Saccharomyces cerevisiae S288C: one gene and its partners. Changing the gene in region 4 together with the main gene of any one other region gives a genetic interaction. Each region holds a gene or a part of one and is shown on either strand. Other genes may lie near its edges.

Region 1 (3,777 bases), on a different chromosome or scaffold from region 4:
GTCACCATTGAATAACGTTGCACTTCAACCTGTCCGTTTATCCAACTGTTTATATCGGTAGAAATAAGGGTATAAGAATAAATTGGCTGGTCAATTGATCGATGAAATTATCGAGCTTTTTTTTTTACTGCATGATCCCTGTCTTCTGAGGCTGTGTAACTTTTTTACTGCCTAAGAACTCTCGGACCCTTCTTTGGTGTTGCCTCAGAAATAGTATGGTGTATTAGCACCATAATAAAAATTTTTACAAAAGCCACTATTATCCTCACTCACCGATGAATGAACATATATGACCTCCAAGATATTCGATCTTACTGAATGGGGTAGACTTTATAAGCGGTTGCCGATTAGCTTAGAAGAACAATTCCTTTTTCTTTCCATTTGGTATTGTACTTTTCTAATGAACTTGGTTAGTTCTGCTTTATCTTTTACACCTGGAAACACAGGCCATAGCACATGTCATGATTTCCGATTTTATTTCTTTTGATTCTTTCGTAATCTGCAATTTCATTGATCCATAGCAAAGGAAACTCTAACGCAATAAGAAGAAAATTATGTTTGTACAATAGAGTTAAATACGCTGCTATTTTCGTCAGAATAAGGTTAATGATTATTAACTCTTAAAAAGTCGATTTTTGATGCATCAAGAAGGTAAATTACCCACAAATTTTTAGCCGACTGTGTATTTTCATATCGCTTCGTGCTATTTTATCTTATCGATTATTTGGTAGTCAATGAAGAAAGATTATTTGGTAGCCAATGGAGAAAGATTATTTGGTAGCCAATGGAGAAAAATTATTTGGTAGTCAATGGAGAAACATTATTTTAATCCTTATATTTCCATTAAAGTGCAACACTGGAAGAATTGATACTTCTATGGTACATAATTTGTTAACGATCGTTAATCTGTGCCATCTTCTTCCCATATGTTCTTAAAATATTCGTGATCGCTTTGAACTTATTGGGCAGTATTTTTTTACTGATTATTTAATCATCAAGAACTTTTCTATAAGTTTTGAAAGGAAAAAAAGAGGAGCAATTGTGGAAAAAAGACTAACAAATGGAACAGTATTAGGATCTCACATTAATCGGTTTATGCATCGCTATTTCTAATTGATACTTTCAGGAAAAACGTATTTTATTATAAAATGTTATTGGCCAGACGACAGTGATCGCGCTGAGCACTTTTTCGAGTATCGGGTTTACTGTTTTGATGGTCATTACCATGTTGACAATTACCAGATAAACGAAATAAGCAGTGAATGGTCGCCAATTACAATCAGAGTTTAAACAACCCACCAAAACTTCCATTTTTAACTATGCCGTGCACCCTGTTCCGCACCCTGTTTGTTCCAAACCGCGCTGTCGCACATTTGGCATAATGTAATGACAGACACCTCAGGGCTCAATACGCGAGTTCTAGGAAAGGGTGCAAAAAAATGAATATCTAATATAATATGACACTCGTATACCATTTTTGAAGTGAAGTTTTTGCACTATTTAAACTAATGATTATCTAACTTTTCTATATTCCTAATGCCGTGTTTATTTTCAGAAAGTCCTTTTGTTCGCCTGAATAATAATAGTAATAACAATACAATACCCGAAAATGAAATTGTCTTCCGCTTTTGTATTATCTGCTATCACCGTTGCCGCTTTAGGCGAAAGTATTACTACTACGATAACTGCTACCAAAAATGGGCATGTTTACACCAAGACTGTCACTCAAGATGCTACTTTTGTCTGGGCAGGAGAAGGCGCTGCGGTAACCTCCGCAGTAACTGAAGCGTCTACTGTCGCTGCAACGTCTGCTGCCGCTGAAACATCTGTTGCCGCTGAAACATCTATTGTTGAGCCTTCCACTTCTGCTCAGGGCACCTCTGCTGATGAAGGGTCTGGTTCGAGTATAACCACCACTATTACAGCCACCAAAAATGGACATGTCTACACAAAGACCGTCACCCAGGATGCTACTTTCGTATGGACTGGAGAGGGTGAACGTGCTCCTGCCTCAACTGTTGCTACTGTCGAAACATCTGTTGCCGCTGAAACATCTGTTGCTGAACCTTCTACCTCTGCTCAGGGCACCTCTGCTGATGAAGGGTCTGGTTCGAGTATAACCACCACTATTACAGCCACCAAAAATGGACATGTCTACACAAAGACCGTCACCCAGGACGCTACTTTCGTATGGACTGGTGAGGGTGAACGTGCTCCTGTCTCAACCGTTGCTACTGTCGAAACAGCTGCTTCTCCAGTAACATCTGTTGCTGAACCTTCTGCCTCTACTGATGAAGGATCTGGTTCGAGTATAACTACCACTATTACAGCCACCAAAAATGGACATGTCTACACAAAGACCGTCACCCAGGACGCTACTTTCGTATGGACTGGTGAGGGTGAACGCGCTCCTGCCTCCACCGTTGCAACTTCTAGTATTTCTGCTATTGAAATTCCCTCCACTACTGAGGCCTCTATTGTGGAGGCTTCTTCTGCTGTTGAGACTTCCTCTGCTGCTGAGACTTCCTCTGCTGTTGAGACTTCCTCTGCTGTTGAGACTTCCTCTGCTGTTGAGACTTCTTCTGCTGCTGAGACTTCCTCTGCTGCTGAGACTTCCTCTGCCGTTGAGACTTCCTCTGCTGTTGAGATTTCTTCTGCTGTTGAGACTTCTGCTGTTGAGACTTCTTCTTCTTCCTCTACTATCGAGACCACTTCTGTTAAAAGCTTATCTCCTACTCAGACTTCTCTTTCATCTTCTGTCCAGGCTTCTTCTCCTATTGAGACTTCTTCTGCTGCAAAAACCTCTTCTGTTGTGCCAACTTTTTCTTCTACTACTACTGAAAATTCCTCTAATTCTAAATCCACGTCTGCAGTTGTAGCATCTACTACCACCTCCTCTGAGTCAAGCGCTACTATTGTTACTCCTACTAGAATTGGGCAAGCTTACACAGAGAGTTCTTCTAGGGATGCCCAATCTGTTCGTACCCATGAAAGTAACAATTGGTCATCAAGTTCTTCTGCAAGCACAAAAATGGTATCCTCTATTACAAGAGTTCAAACCACTACCGCTGGTATTTTCACTAACGGTAAGTCGTCCACAACTCCTCAAATCGTGAATTACACGGGTGCGGCTGATTCTATCGCCGCTGGTACGGGTCTGATGGGCGCTGCGCTCGCTGCCGTTATCTTTTTGTAATTTCTGCTAACGACAGATGCGCAGAATCAACCTTTCTGATCTCTCCGTGGTCTTACTTTTCAAAATGGCATTGTGAATTAAGTATTTCATCATAGTTGATAAAGCTTATGTCCGCAATGTTATTTGTCTGCGTGACACTGGCTGTCTATAAGAATGTACCAGTATGTAATATTATATCAAGAAAATATCAGGTGTTGATTAAAATAATCTAAAAACAATGTCTATTTCACTTGTTAAATATGACTTTTCAAAAATAACCATTTTATTTATTTCTTGCTTTTTAAAAGGTGAGAGTGGGTATTTGTTTTATCTGACGCCAAGGAAAATAAAAGTTAAAAAATGACATGATGATTTTATAGTTCAAAACAAGAAATGAACTTTCGTGTTTGTGATCAGATTCAAATGGAGTATAATACTGAAAGAAGGTCGAGAAAGACAAGCAAGCAAATTCACAACTTCATTGAGCGCATTTTATTGAAATTACCTGTAGCAATGAGTAGTTCAGTTTGTCATATAATTATGTTTTTGTGAGAAATTTTAGCTTTTGGTACTGTGCCAGTTATCCGAATTTAAAAAAAAAA
Region 2 (2,772 bases), on a different chromosome or scaffold from region 4:
ATGTAGAACATTAGCCAATGCGCAAGCATTGGCCAAGCCCTCTGGATCCAAGGCTATTTCATTGGATGTTACCGATGACAGTGCCTTAGACAAAGTTCTGGCTGATAACGATGTTGTCATCTCTTTGATTCCATACACCTTCCATCCAAATGTGGTAAAGAGCGCCATCAGAACAAAGACCGATGTCGTCACTTCCTCTTACATCTCACCTGCCTTAAGAGAATTGGAACCAGAAATCGTAAAGGCAGGTATTACAGTTATGAACGAAATTGGGTTGGATCCAGGTATCGACCACTTGTATGCGGTCAAGACTATTGATGAAGTTCACAGAGCTGGTGGTAAGCTAAAGTCATTCTTGTCATACTGTGGTGGTTTACCAGCTCCTGAAGACTCTGATAATCCATTAGGATACAAATTTTCATGGTCCTCCAGAGGTGTGCTACTGGCTTTAAGAAACTCTGCTAAATACTGGAAAGACGGAAAGATTGAAACTGTTTCTTCCGAAGACTTAATGGCCACTGCTAAGCCTTACTTCATCTACCCAGGTTATGCATTCGTTTGCTACCCAAATAGAGACTCTACCCTTTTCAAGGATCTTTATCATATTCCAGAAGCCGAAACGGTCATTAGAGGTACTTTGAGATATCAAGGTTTCCCAGAATTTGTTAAGGCTTTAGTTGACATGGGTATGTTGAAGGATGATGCTAACGAAATCTTCAGCAAGCCAATTGCCTGGAACGAAGCACTAAAACAATATTTAGGTGCCAAGTCTACTTCTAAAGAAGATTTGATTGCTTCCATTGACTCAAAGGCTACTTGGAAAGATGATGAAGATAGAGAAAGAATCCTTTCCGGGTTTGCTTGGTTAGGCTTGTTCTCTGACGCAAAGATCACACCAAGAGGTAATGCTTTAGACACTCTATGTGCACGTTTAGAAGAACTAATGCAATATGAAGACAATGAAAGAGATATGGTTGTACTACAACACAAATTCGGTATTGAATGGGCTGATGGAACTACCGAAACAAGAACATCCACTTTAGTTGACTATGGTAAGGTTGGTGGTTACAGTTCTATGGCCGCTACTGTTGGTTATCCAGTTGCCATTGCAACGAAATTCGTCTTAGATGGTACAATCAAGGGACCAGGCTTACTAGCGCCATACTCACCAGAGATTAATGATCCAATCATGAAAGAACTAAAGGACAAGTACGGCATCTATCTAAAGGAAAAGACAGTGGCTTAAATAAGAAGAAATGTATCAAAAGGTTTATCATACGTAACAGTAACGGCACTTTATAAATCTTTCTTTAGTATTACTTATACTTTCATAAGGAAACGTAAAAAAAAAAAAACCGGAAAGAGGGACAAAATGGACTAGAACGTAATTGAGAGTGTAGTTCCTGAAGCTTGAACCGCTAGTAAGTCGTCTACCTTTAGTCTAAAAAGTATTGGCTATTGCATTTTATAGTCTTGCTTCTGATCAGAACGTATTAAATGAGCTCGTAAAGACTCTTAGGAGTTTTTCACTTTTAGAGATTAATACTATTAGGAAAGGTGCAAAAAAATAAAACGCCAACTAACTATTAGACGCTAGGCCCTAATACCAACTACCAGTATAACTAAGATTTCACGCATATGATGAGTCAAGTATCGCATTCCCAAGAAGGATCCGGGCGATTTTGGAACAAGTTTAAGTCGTCAACCAAATCGTTATCTACATCGTTGGCACATTTATCCATTAAAGCAGAAAAAGATGGTGATACTGTAAATACTACATTGGTCCATAAAGGGCTTGTGAAATTCTATGAAAATCAGCATCCTTTCCAGGGGTTCCCAGGATGGTTGGGGGAGAAGGAAGATTTACCGAACGAACGTAAAATATTAGATACTCAAGTGAAGCATGATATGAAGAAGCAAAACTCGCGTCATTTCTCGCCATCCTTTTCTAACAGAAGGAAGGCTTCTTCAGAAGATCCTATGGGTACACCTTCTTCAAACGGGAACACACCGGAGTACACGCCTGCGAGTAAATCGTTTCAAGATATATACAATAATCATACAAGCTCCTCTAGCGCGACACCGAGAAGAGCTTCATCACGGCCGACTAGACCTTCAGCAGGCCAAGAATTCAGGGCAAGTCTCGGTCGAAGTAAAACGTCGAACAGTTTCAACACCTCCAGCACGCCAACGCCGCCACCAGACGCAAGTAGTGGAGTAATGGCAATGAAGGACAGACTAAAGAGACGCAATAACGATTATGGATTTTAAATAGCACTATACCTTGCTGAAATAAAGCGAAAAGAACATTTAATGAATATATAGGTATCGTATATGTACTGAATAAAGTGTTTGATACAGAATGCAAGGAGATAATATAGTATGGTATATAACCTCGTCCTTATTTTGAATATACATGAAATTACAACGCTTCCCTAGAGACCGAATCAAACGCAGGGATTTTATAGTAAATGATAATCAATCATAAAATTTCTCTCAATGGAATACTAACGACACTACTCTCATCGAATGGGGTATCGCTGTTCTCAAAATTTAGGTAGCTATGATCATGCATAGGTCTTGGTTTGAAGATGACTTTTATCAGGAATAGTATGGCGAAAAGAGTTGCAATCCCGGCAACAATCAAATAAACAATCCCTAATGCCTCGTTTCCAGCACCGATAATACTGTTTGTGGTTAATACAAAAGATTTTGTTCCATAGAAAGATCTTACTGGGTAGTTGAGTTCTATATCAGCAATGTAAATACCCT
Region 3 (2,812 bases), on a different chromosome or scaffold from region 4:
GAATCCGGTGGAATATTTTAGCGATAGCTCGAAGAATCATGATCAATGGATTGAAAGTAGGGCCACCAATGCTCTTTTCAATCTATTTTTTGAAAACATGAGAGTCCTAAAAGAGCTAACTTAAATGACCGGGGCAGATTAATTGAAAAGTTTGAGGTTTTTGTGATAATCTTCAAAGTTGAACGCATGTATAAAATGATAGAAGCAACAGTCCATTGAGAAGTATGCCACTATAGTCATATATATATATATATATATATATATATATATTTACGTATTAATTGATAAACTATAATACCAACGGCACTTGATACTTGAATTCATCTTACATTTCCAGTGATGATTTTTTTTTCTGGGACTACGCTGATAAAGAAAAATTGCAAGAACTGAGAAACCACTTGTTTTGTATGGCACTTTGACTTTCGAATAACACATAATGTTCGTTATCAACTGTTTAAAGTCGATAAATGTATAATCACTGCTTTGACATAAGTATATAACATTCCGAGCAGAAATAAATTCTCTTAACGCGTTCTTGTAACTCCATAGAGGCTCTTTGGAACTTTTCGTTTGACGCTCACACCTTTTATTTCGTTAAAGTACCGTTTTGCCAGATCCTTGCCAAAAACCAAAAATATTTTTCTATAAAATAATCCACAGGCATTACACAATGTCACCTCTCCATCAGGACCCTCTCTCCATTGCGGAGAAGTTTTTATCACCGCACACTGTGGACATCTCCTGGTGACGCCTTTCCTCTTTTGGACATTGTGCTGAACAACAGCAGTATTATTCGTTGTGACATACAAAGATGCACTAATGGGTTTAGCAGTATTGATTTTTGTTTGAGAGTGAGGTTTTTCGCAGTCTATTGTCTCCTCTACCGGATTCAATAACGATTCAACGGAGATTCTTTTATATTCTGGATGACACAAAGTCTTAATGTTCATAGCAAATTCTTCCTTCTGGCTTTATATTTGCTTCTAGTTGATAATTGTTTACATTTAATGAAATTGTTTCAAATCAAGAAAAGGTAAGATAAGCTCCCTCAAAGAACCTCTCGTCTTATAATATACTCTTCAAACAGAGCAACAAATATTAATTAACATGCTCGACCATTTGTTCTTTTCCATCAAATTGGACCCTAGACCCTTAAAAACATAGATATGACTGAAGAGGAGGTTTTTGACCTCTAGCCTATTATTCCATTTTACAGAGAAGCCTACTTATTTTCTGTGGCAGGCGGCTAAGCAGGTAATGTTGTCCGCATTTTATCAGAAATACTTGCCAAGAAAAAAAAGGGATTTTCATATAAGGGGATTTTCTACAGGTGTTTGTGTGAGTATGTATTGCACCAAATAAGTACTGTGTTAAAGGTTTTGTTGATGCGTTTTCATCGGGGTTAATAGCGTCTAATCCTTCAAGGGAGCTGTAAGTGATACTTTCATTATGCAAACTAAAGAAAGCTGAAGTCCTGGTACGCCACCTGGCACTTCATCTGGCTTCTTTTATTTTTTTATACACAGAAAATAACTTACTTACACTTTTTTTGGAAATAAAACCATTGTCTCGGGGAACATATACATATATATATATATATATATATGTATATAATACCAACTGCAATAAAAGAAAAGAGTCATATTATAAGTATAATTTTGAATGTTCTGTGCATTTTTCACTGTCGAATAGCTTGCTTGTCATGCCAAATAATGGGTTAAATCGCTGTGTGCTGACAATGTATCAAATAATACTTCCCCTAATTGAATGTGTGGCGCTATCCGTATATCCGGACCCTTTTTCAGGGCCGGTCTTGGCATGAAAAAATGTCAGAAGCATGAGTAGAATTAAGTCGAGAACAAACTAATATGAAGGGGATGTTTAATGTAAAAACGTATAAAAAGGCCATGTTCGAGGTGGATAATAGAACAACATTCTATGAAGACGGCAGCTTCAAGACAGAAAATATTCATAGAGATTAAGAGAAAAAGTCTCGAACATATTCAAATGAAGACTGTCTATTACAAAGAAATCACCTACCAGCAGTATCTTCAACTGCAACCTGAACAACAGGAAAAATACCTGGCTTTATGTCAAAAAGATTTTGAACAAGAGACTGAAAGAATTGCATTTGATCGTCAAGGAGGTGTGCCTGGTATTGCTAGGAAATTTGCACAAGAAGAAGTTGCTTGGTTCGATCGCGTTACAACATGGTCATATATGAATGCTTATATTCCGAGCTACAGAAGAAGAAGAAACCTTTTAAAGATTGATATGTTAAAGATGTCTAATGCTGAAGAATACTGAGAATAATTTCGAGCGCCGATCCAAATATTAGGTTTGCTTTATCTTTTTTTATGAAATAAGTTCATGAAATATGAATACTATACCACTACGCATATATATATTTTAAGAAAATTTTCGAATGAAACTTGATGAAATTAGTCCATTAAAAGTGTATGGGTAATCGAAGAGCCCAAACTACCGTTAGTATAATACTTTGTACTTTGTACTCAATACTTAATACTAATTAAAGTCTGGATTACAGTGTCCTATGATAATTGTGTTAGCTTTTCATCTTTTATTGCGACTACAGTTAAATTTTATGGTTTATTTATTCCTCGTTGTTTCGATGCACGATGCGAGTAATTGCAGGATCTCTTCATTGTGCACGCTGAGTTGTGGTACAATGTCCTCGGGTAACGGTATCGTACCTACCGGTATTTTCACCGCCACTCCACCTATAACATTCATCTTCAAACCATGTAGTACCTCTTGAAGTTGGTCATTACACTTACTACCGCCATGACCG
Region 4 (2,256 bases):
CTTCGTTACGTTCAATTTCCCATGGATTACCAGAATTTAACCAGTAATCTGGAGTTTCCACCTGGTAACCGTCAATAATCTTTTGAGCAAAGATACCATACTCATAACGTAGACCATAACCCCAGGCAGGGATGCCTTCCGTTGCCATTGAGTCGACGAAGCAAGCTGCAAGACGACCTAGACCACCATTACCTAAACCTGCGTCCGGTTCTTGGTCCAAGACATCCTCTAACTTGAAACCTAAATCATCCAAAGCCCCTTTAATCATTTCTCTTGGTTTTCCCTTTGAGGCAGCAGGGTCTTCCGGATCTTCAATCTTCATATTAATCAGGGCATTATCCAAAGCCCTACCCATCAAAAACTCCAAAGACAAATAGTAAACTCTCTTTGGGTCTCTTGTGGTGAATTTCTGCTGAGTTTTGTTCCAGTCAATGACCAAATTGTCACGAATACTCATCGAAGCAGCTTCATAAGCAGCCATGTCATCACAATTATATAGGGAACGTGCTAATGTAGTTTCCACATGGTCAATGAATCTATCTTGAAAATCTTCTGCCTTGTTAAATTTTTTGACTTGATGCTTATTCCATAACGCTCTTGACTTTAAAGGAATCATCGTGTCAATTGACTTGATTTCTTGGGGAAGAAACCCCGTAAGTCTCCTTGTAAGCCTTGGGATTTGGTGTGGAGAAGTAGGTTCTTCGGTTATCATATCATTGGTAGTACTAGTACTAGCTGGCGGCATTGTTCAAAATTAAATTAAGTTGAAAGCTGCTTTACTGAAATTGTAATGTAGAGAAGTCAAAAAAGATCCAATTGTTTTTCTTTTGGATATTTTTAGTAATCGTTACCTTCTCAATCTGTGCTTACTTTATATTACAATAGCAAGCAGAAAAAACTTATAATACTTCGTACGTAATCAAAACAAAAGGTACAACAAGAAACGGGAAGGCACAAAGAATCTTGCTTTACTGCTATACAAACTTCATGCTCCTTTTATACATATAATATATTCGTCGGTGTTCCTTCCTTATCTTTGTAGCATGCACATGGTAGTTATTAACCTCCCCTGAAACTTTTTTAGCGAAAATTATCCACCCCTTACTTATTTCCTCGAGAGTCTCTAAAAAGTAAAAATACAATAACGGTAATTGGGGAAGGCGTTCCTTGTTAATTCAAAATGTTATCCTTGAAACATAGAAGGTGCTGGCTGCATCTCGCAGAGCTTCCTCTTCCGTTGAGCGTTGTATTCTTCCCCCCACAGTGCTACTAGGCGATGCCGCTACCCCTTGAAGGGCCTTCCCGCTGTGGGGCAGCGGCCTTTTTTCCTTAGTGGGAAACAAGCACCGGGGTATATTTCATTGTCTATCAGGAGAAGAGATCGTATACAAATGTTCGTGAGACGGTTTCATCTTGACTAGTTGCCTTGCTAGTCGGATAACTAGTGGAAAGCAGTAGGACACTCCCGATGAGTTTGCGTTTCCACGGGGTTTGACAGAGCTACCTATTGTCTTTTTCATCGAAGGAAACGGTAGTTGGACCTTGCCTTGGATAAGTTGGTGAATCATCCAGAGCTTTAGAAGGGAGCAAAAAATAAAATCTGCGCAAGCCCGGAATCGAACCGGGGGCCCAACGATGGCAACGTTGGATTTTACCACTAAACCACTTGCGCTTGTTATTTACATGAGTGTGGTACTTCTATTGATGGTAGGTGTTCCATTACTTTTTTCGTCTTAAGATGAGCGAGCAAACACAGGGAGAAAATAAAGCGCAATTATTTACCTCATAGGGTACACAATATCCGTGAGAAAAGGATGAATTTGAAATAATTATACAGACTCCTTTTTTTTCAACGTAAAATTATAAGCATAGATTAGAGGCGCTCCTGGATAATAATAGGAACACACACAAGTAAATCAGCAATTTCTCATATCGTACTTATTCGGTAGAGTTAATAATATTCTACTAAAATAACTACTGGTAAGTAGTGAGAGCTTGATTTTTGTACTAATAACTTGTTTCAAAAAAAAAAACGAATAATCAGTTTTACAAAAATGTGTATACCTATATAAACAATCTTAGAGGTAAAGTTCTCCCTCACTAAAAATAATAAAAAATTACGTGCAGATGAGAACCCCGTCTTACCTTAGTATACCTTTAGTTCCCTTTATGACCCGATTTGAACGATAAGTCTTTTATATTTTATTTCTTCCTAAAAGAAAAATGTATGCATTGTAAGTAACTTTTTATGACCAT

The links.
Region 1: mutations in YPR159C-A (region 4) and FIT1 together harm fitness more than expected from each alone (negative genetic interaction), as found in Saccharomyces cerevisiae (one large-scale study listed by BioGRID).
Region 2: mutations in YPR159C-A (region 4) and MSO1 together harm fitness more than expected from each alone (negative genetic interaction), as found in Saccharomyces cerevisiae (one large-scale study listed by BioGRID).
Region 3: mutations in YPR159C-A (region 4) and YLR012C together harm fitness more than expected from each alone (negative genetic interaction), as found in Saccharomyces cerevisiae (one large-scale study listed by BioGRID).

The regions. Positions count from the first base shown.
Region 1 is NC_001136.10:1,502,733-1,506,509, reverse strand, and holds FIT1 (Fit1p), read left to right. Parts: upstream 1-1,609; coding exon 1,610-3,196; downstream 3,197-3,777. UniProt on the Saccharomyces cerevisiae protein: Involved in the uptake of non-siderophore sources of iron and the siderophores ferrioxamine B and ferrichrome. Has a role in the retention of iron in the cell wall and periplasmic space.
Region 2 is NC_001146.8:712,522-715,293, reverse strand, and holds MSO1 (Mso1p), read left to right. Parts: upstream 1-1,638; coding exon 1,639-2,271; downstream 2,272-2,772. Other genes in the region: LYS9 (saccharopine dehydrogenase (NADP+, L-glutamate-forming)), read left to right, coding at 1-1,246; YNR048W (putative aminophospholipid translocase regulatory protein), read right to left, coding at 2,483-2,772. UniProt on the Saccharomyces cerevisiae protein: Involved in secretion. Component of the secretory vesicle docking complex.
Region 3 is NC_001144.5:169,477-172,288, reverse strand, and holds YLR012C (uncharacterized protein), read left to right. Parts: upstream 1-2,007; coding exon 2,008-2,307; downstream 2,308-2,812. Other genes in the region: PPR1 (Ppr1p), read left to right, coding at 1-21; GAT3 (Gat3p), read right to left, coding at 525-950; LOT6 (flavin-dependent quinone reductase), read right to left, coding at 2,611-2,812.
Region 4 is NC_001148.4:859,795-862,050, reverse strand, and holds YPR159C-A (uncharacterized protein), read left to right. Parts: upstream 1-1,635; coding exon 1,636-1,737; downstream 1,738-2,256. Other genes in the region: GPH1 (glycogen phosphorylase), read right to left, coding at 1-745.